Arabidopsis thaliana: one gene and its partner. The protein of the gene in region 1 interacts with the protein of each later gene in a pairwise test. Each region holds a gene or a part of one and is shown on either strand. Other genes may lie near its edges.

Evidence for each region.
Region 2: the proteins of FHA2 (region 1) and AT3G21810 interact in binary tests that used the Arabidopsis thaliana proteins (3 or more experiments, as listed by UniProt).

The regions. Positions count from the first base shown.
Region 1 is NC_003074.8:2,296,139-2,299,894, reverse strand, and holds FHA2 (SMAD/FHA domain-containing protein), read right to left. Parts: upstream 2,010-3,756; 5' UTR 1,928-2,009; coding exon 1,333-1,927; intron 1,136-1,332; coding exon 978-1,135; intron 698-977; coding exon 488-697; 3' UTR 323-487; downstream 1-322. UniProt on the Arabidopsis thaliana protein: May play a role in the control of plant organ development and specifically in the regulation of stamen development. Does not show transactivation activity in yeast.
Region 2 is NC_003074.8:7,682,451-7,686,206, reverse strand, and holds the start of AT3G21810 (Zinc finger C-x8-C-x5-C-x3-H type family protein), read right to left. Parts: upstream 1,852-3,756; 5' UTR 1,627-1,851; intron 1,475-1,626; 5' UTR 1,356-1,474; coding exon 1,223-1,355; exon of another isoform or gene 95-1,222; coding exon of another isoform or gene 34-94; coding exon 1-33.

The DNA of each region.
Region 1 (3,756 bases):
CGATTACCGGAAGAAGGGGAAGATCTGGACAAAATCGATGAAACGGAAGCAGTTTTTTTTTTTTATATAGCTTTTTCGATCTCAGAATTTTGCTTTAGTGGCTGCTACAAGATACGAGTATAACCCTAAGTTTGCACATTCCAACCTTTTTATATTGTCTGGATACGTACTTGAGCCACTTTGGATCATTCTCTGTTTCGGCCTTTTCTCTTTTTATGGCCCAAATCCACCGAACATAACGATTTCTGAATTGGCACGAATTTTTTGCCCTTTGATGAAAGAAAAATCTCGATGGGTTTATCAAAAATAAGAATCAAGAAAAAGAAAATCAAAATCTCTCAACTGCAAGGACCAAGAAGTTGGCGTTTTTGGGTGCAGAAAAACGACACAGCGTGTTACTAATCAATGCCAAAATATTTTACATATGAAACAAAGAAAAGAGAGAAAAGCTTCTTAAATCTTAATCCGAGTCACTAAGGTAAAGTTCTCATGAGAGTAGGGTAACGAGGGAAACGAATTCAAGGGTAACTCTTCCCTTTGATCTCGTGTTGATGACGAAATGCTCCGGGTATTTTCTCAGCAGCATCAGCAAACCGTACCATGGTTTACCTTTTGCTTCAGGGATAGCCCAGTCTTCTTGTGATAGGTATCTTCTTACTCGACTGTGATGCCATACGTTTCCATACTCCTTTAATATCTGTCACAGACCAACCACTACCATGCATTAGCCATCATATTGAATCACAAAGAAGTTCATAGTCAGACTACACTAGTCATTCAAAATCTATGGAGTAACTGACATACTTTCTAGACTTAGACACATATAAGTAGCGTAGCGCGTTTCCATTGGAAAACTAATTAAGGACCTAGCTTCACACTAATTATCACCTTGACATTATACAAGTCTTGTTTCAATTGATTACTCGTACTACATTCTGTATTAGAAAAAGGCAAGGAACTTTCTCATAAAAACTAACCACCGAATGAAGTTTTTCCATAGGCATCCACTCTCCCGGACCACACAAATCGGAAAGCACAGTGGCAACAGACGATACAACATCTTTTTCCTCCAGCTGCAAAAATTGTTGATCATCAGCTTCACGATCTACCTTTGATCTTCCCTCTCTCTTCTTCTCTGCACAAATGAAGCAGATACAATGTCGTGGTGTCACTAGCATTCAAATTCAATCCAAGTCTAACAAGGTTCAATCAGCAACCACCACAATCAAAGTCTAAAGAAACAAGCCTGATGTGATCAAGTAAGCATCATAATCTGAAACATATCTAGTTGCACAATGAAAACTCAAACAATCATGAGCAATCTGGTTTTACCTCCGGAAGCATATACTACTTCATGTCCATCTCTCCTTGTTTTCTTTCCACTTCCTCTCATATCGTCCTCCTCATCGTCGTCGTCATCATCATCTTCATCATCGTACTCATACAACTCTCTACTCCTGACGCCCTTCTTACCCGACCCAGAACCTGGACCCGACTGATAATTATGGTATGGAACAACACTTGTTTGCCCAGAGACGTGGTGCCTAGGTCCCAACGGCCCGCCTAAGATGCTCCGAACCGGTAGGAGAAAGTAGAACTCTTTGTCTCCGATCTGCAAAAGGTCTTGTGAATCGAGCTTGACGTTAGGATTCCCAGGGAGATGAAGAACACCTTCAACGAGGCAGCCATTTTTGCCAAGGACCTCGAGAGAGAAGCGTCGTCTAGTGAAGTCATAGAAGATCCGAGCGTGGTTGCGCGAGATGTTCATCCCACCGCCGAGGGATGAGAGATCAACGTCGACGGTGGCTTTCTTAGAATTCCGGCCGAGTATAATGGAGTAAGACTGCATATAGTACTCGAAATCCTCACCTTGAAGCTTCGCAAATCCAACCTCCACATCGCTTCCGCCACCAACAGCCGTAGCCATGCCGTGAAATTCTCCGATTTGATCGAAAGAGGAACCGGGACTTCCAAATTAGGGATTGCAATCGTAATAATTTGTGAATCGAAGCAAGATTTGTTTGGAAACTGGTTTAGCTTATCCAGGACAAAGGCTTATTTTGTGAAATTGACGATTATACCCATGATTTTAAGACCTGAATAAAAACCCTAATGACACAACTATTTAAAACAGCCGAAGAAACATTGAGAATGGCGGCGAGATCTGTGAGCTTAAAGGTTCCATCTCTCCCGCAAATAGTGGAGCATCTTATTGATTGTTTGAATTTTTTGATTTCGTTTGCTTTAGAACATAGGCTTGGTTAGTTTTATGTAACCTTTTGTTTATTTTCGTTGTTGGTTTGATTGAATAAGTTGCCAAATGATGATTGAAAATTTTGCGCAAGGGTTTTGAGTTTCGGATGATTGGAGTTTACTCTGGTCTGAAGGAACCGTGACAAAATTATTTTCTAATAATTCATTCTGATGGCAGCTCAATCATTGTTAGATATATCAAATTTCAATTCGAGTTTTGGGTGCATGGTTTGATTCGGATGGTTAATTGTAGTTTGTTTTGTTAGTAGAAGCTTGGTTTTGGGGCAGCTTAATGAATTTTAGGATTCAAGTTTTCAAATCATTTAGCCTATAATGTTCTGAAATGTGTTGTGTAATGGCTTTGATTTCCTGAGGATCTGACTATAGAATGTTTAAAATCCTGAGGAACGGTGGGAAATCATGTATTTGTGTTTCTTTTTTTTTTTAAGATTCAGGTTCTACAAATTATGCTTAAAGGGCTTTGAGCTCCTGACCGCTTGTATTATGAGATCCAAGAAAATGTGAAAAGTCGTTTTTTTTTCCTTTCCCATTTTGATGGTTTGGGTTGCATTTTACTGTTCTTTTAGTTATCATGACTATGCTAGATTCTGGTCTGGACATAAGTTGCTTAAGATGTGTGGAAATTATGCGTAATGGATTTAGAATTGGCAATTTGTTATTTGAAGGAATTCACTTCTATAGATATCCTTTAATGGCACCCGTTCATGGTCAGCTCCAAATATGCAAGAAATCGGAAAATGCATTAGTGTAGTCCTCTTTTCTGGTATATTGTCAATACTCAAATCTTACATAAACTTTGTTTCAAGGACAATGAAGCATGTGGTCAAGATTTTGAGCCTGCTGGTAGCTGTCTCTGCCTTTTAGTTTGCTCTCTTGCAGGCTGCAATTATGGCTCGTAGCCAAACATAGTTGGTTAGTAATGAGTCTGTTGTGCTCATTTTTGCTTATTGCTATTCTCAGTTAGTCAATATTAATAATGTATATCTTTGCACCAGCTACCTATATACGTTGTAGTGTCCTTTGCTATTAATTGTTGGAATCGGTTTAGTGCAGTTCCCTACCTCTCCTAAAGAAGCAGTTTTTCTGCAGCGGGTACTTTCAGTACTCTTTTCTTTCTTTGTTAACTCGAATTGTTAATTAAGGTTAAATTAAGTTCTTGACTAGTGCTTTTGCTCCTAGCTGTTGTTAATGTTGATTATGTACTAGTTTGTTTTGGTGCTATTGTTATATTGCAGGATATTGCAGATGCAAAAAGACTTCTTAAGCGCTAACGGAATTGATGTTGGATCGGATTTGACACATTATGGTTTACTTCTTTTCAACTCCCTAACCAGTGTAATAGAATACTTGGAGTCTTCGATGGTTCATAGAAAGAGTTCCCATTTTCATTATGTACAGTCGTTTACTATGTTTTTTTGAGAGATGTACATTGAGAAACCGGTGTTTGCAATTGGATTTTGTTTTGGGGTTTTAAACATGATG
Region 2 (3,756 bases), 5.4 Mb from region 1:
CTCTTAAGTCACTATCCATATTGTGACGTCTTCCTGCAGTAGACGAAACAGACTTTGCAGTAAAGCATACTTGTGCTACAGATGTGAACTCCATTTCAAACAATCAGAATCATGCCAGTCAACAACACTTGGATAAGATCACAGAAAACTACTAGTAACATAAAGAAAAACGTAATGGTGATTACTTCCCAGTTCAAAGAGACCACAATATAATGTCCTCTTCTTACCAGCAGTTGGAAAGAAACCACAATTGGGTACTAAATAAGTGGAGTCACTGAATCTCATTGATAAATCATAGGTTGAGAAGGCTTCAGATTATGTTGGACGAGAGAAAATAAGAACCAATCTTGAAGTTCCATTTAATTACACAATCAAAATCCACCAAATTTGATATACTGACAATCAAACCCCCATAAACTGCATATTTCTTGATCCAAGAAACCGCTTGAAAGACCATTGAAGATATAAATAATCACAGAAAATACCACGTGCTCCACATACATAACTGGAAGTATGAAAATGCCAGAAGTAATAACAACAGGCATTGATAAATCCTAATAACAAGCATTGCTTGCAACCAAATCTCGGGAGTCTGAAAACCATAGTTGTCGAAGAATAAGTACCCCGCAAAACCCATGATAGATTTTCTTCATAAAGAATGTGCTTTCAAGAGCAATAAGAAAACCAAGATAAATTTCACCACAAAAAAACCCAGCAGATTCCACTCCAATAAGAAAACCAATATAAATTGCAGCCAGAAAGACCAGTAGATTCCATTCCCGGATAAAAAATAATACTAAGCCTGTGAGTAGCTATCTTTCTGCATATTCCAGAATGATTCCGCAGGACAAAACTAGTCAGTAAAAGTTGATATGGAGAAAACCAAATCCAAAGCAAAGTATAATACTGATACCATTACCATGTGTTTATCAAACAGAACACTGTAGGCTGAAACGTTTTACACAATCTCATAAAATATGGAATAATACTCACAAAGCAAATGCATTGAACCACAAAACTTCAGAAGAAAAATACTTCACAGAATCATCAAAGTATAATATAAAAATCTTGCAAAGTCTAAGCAAAAGAGACTTAATTAAATAAAAACTTTTCTATTTTACTCTAATAAAAAGAAGCACTCATAAATTCATCAATCCTTCCACCATTAACAAACTTAAACCAGAATAAATAGCCTATTCAAATGCATAAACGAAAACATTACCTGTAAAAGAAGATTCGCCAGGACGACGAAGCTCAGCATTTCCATGAGCAAAAGTACAATTCGGCCTCGAACAATCACCAGTCTTATTGAACAGAATACAAAGCTTCGTCTTATACATACTCGACCCAGACATGATGTATAAACCAATTACAACGAAACCTCTTTTCTTCAGATCAAAACTTCAAAAGTCAAGCCAACCTCAAAAAGTCAAGCAAACCTCCATAACCATAGATTAACACCACCGTCTCGTTCCTACATACGAAACAGAAGAAACGCTTCAAAATGGAAATCTCTAGATTCTCACTGGAATAGGATTTTCTAAAAATCTCTAGAATCGAGCATGAATAAAAACCAGTTATACATCAATTTCGAGCTATGTAAGACTGAGAAAATCGAAAACCTACAATGGCGATTTTATGCGGTTCGTTTTCTCGCTAGGTTTATCGTTGAATCACACCTTCTTCTTCTTCTTCTTCAATGGAACTTAACGGCAAGGAGGAGAAAACAAGTCGGACGAAAATGATATTACCGGAAAATGAAAACAAAAAGAAAGCTGAAACAATTTAAGGATCGATCCTTCGTATTTATATATTTCTTTTAAGAAAGAAAATAAGTAAAAACAGAGCTGGTATTTTACTATTTTGCCCTTATGTATTCGAAGGATTAACAAAATGTCAAGATTTTGGTTTTGTATACTACCATCAAATCCGGTTTAATTAGAGGTATTTAGTTCTCTAATTCTATTCCAGTTTTGTCTTTTTTCTTTTTCTTTTTTGTTATTAACATTTGTATGATCTGTCTAAATTAAATTACTGAATATTATCTCTATATAAATTTGTACATCTCTCCATATAATGATACAACATTTTACTAAAGTATCTGTACCATTTTATAAATCTTCATAAATGGAAACTGAAAGGTTCTTATGTGTAGAGAAAAAAGCAATAAAATACAAGAGATGGAACATAATCTGAACACTTAATAAAAAAGTTCAAGTAAATGGAGTATGAATATCTCTAAACAATTAATATAGGTAAGTCCTATATATTAGTTTCTCTTTTCTGAAAAATAATTAATCTTGTGAGTTTTATTTTCAGATTTCTAATAAAGTTTTGCCAAAAGTTGACATAGTAAAGATATTAAGATAATGCTCGATATTTTGGGAGAGTTAGAAGTATATAAAATATTTGCCTTGTGATACAATTTTGGTTCTTCGAAATTACATTTTCAATCTTGGCAAATTTACAAACAGGGACGACAAAAACCAAACGCAATGATCATAACAGCGAAGTCATAGACTTATCAGAGAAAGGGAACAAGGAGTATAGGACCAAGTGATACAACTAAGTCAATAAAGCCGATAATAGGCATATGAAAGGTATGATCAAGATTAACAAAACTCCAACGCATATTGCAGAATTGGCCCAAGGGTATGATACGATATCTCGTAATGTCTCTCTGATGGTTTGACCTAAACAAACTCAAACCAAACCCGTTGCTCTCTTTTTAGTCTCTCATGTAAGATCACACCTGAAGATCACATAAACAACATCACACAGAACCAACAATTCTTCATCCAGCAAAATGTGGCAACCTTTTTGTTTCAACGCAGGAAATCAAGAAGGCAACACAAATTATCCACCAACAATTCTCAACATCGAACTCGTATAAGTAATGACAGCAACCATAATTGTTCCGTATGTTAAATCATCACATTTTCCTTCTCATTATTGATAACAGAATTGTATGCGAATGTCTTTAATCAAATGATTAACAATCATAAGACTTTTGACAACTAAAACAGGAAGAAGCAAGAGCATCTCCAACGAAAAAATAGGGATTAATATTGGAGACGGTCTTAATCGAATAATAAAACAGAACAATCATCAATTTCAGTTAGAAAAACCAAATCTGAGAAAAGAAAACATCATTGCACTCCAAACAATCCATCTCGCTCCAACAACTTTATATTCAACCAACAAACCTCATCGTAAATTCAGAGGAAACCCAATTCGTAAATAATGAAAAAGAAGATAGAACAAATGTGTGAGGCATTTCCAGGATCAAATAACATAGAAAAAAAAGCCAAATGATCAGGATATACCACAATCAATATTGCGTCAATGCCATTATACCTAAAGGAACCATATTTAATCCTTCAGAATTGGTAAAAGACGCCATTCATTATTAACAACAATAATAACAAACACAAAGATTTAGGGAAGATCTAAAAAATGCTCAGTGGAAGGAGAAGTCGTTTATTAAAGAGAGCTCACGGCAAAACAAATTTTCATTGCTTTGTCCACTGCCCTTCACGCACCTTCGTGCTATTTTATCATCATCGCAAACCAAATTTCCCCAATAAACAAAAACAAATCAAACTAATAAAGCCTCAGTGTGTGTAACAATTCAGATCATTGATTTTAAAAAAACCTCACTGAAATCCGCTAAGATAATTGTTTTTATCATCATAGGCAATTCAAAGGGAACACCAAAACAAAAACTTTCATTATAGTGGGCGAAAAAGGATTTAC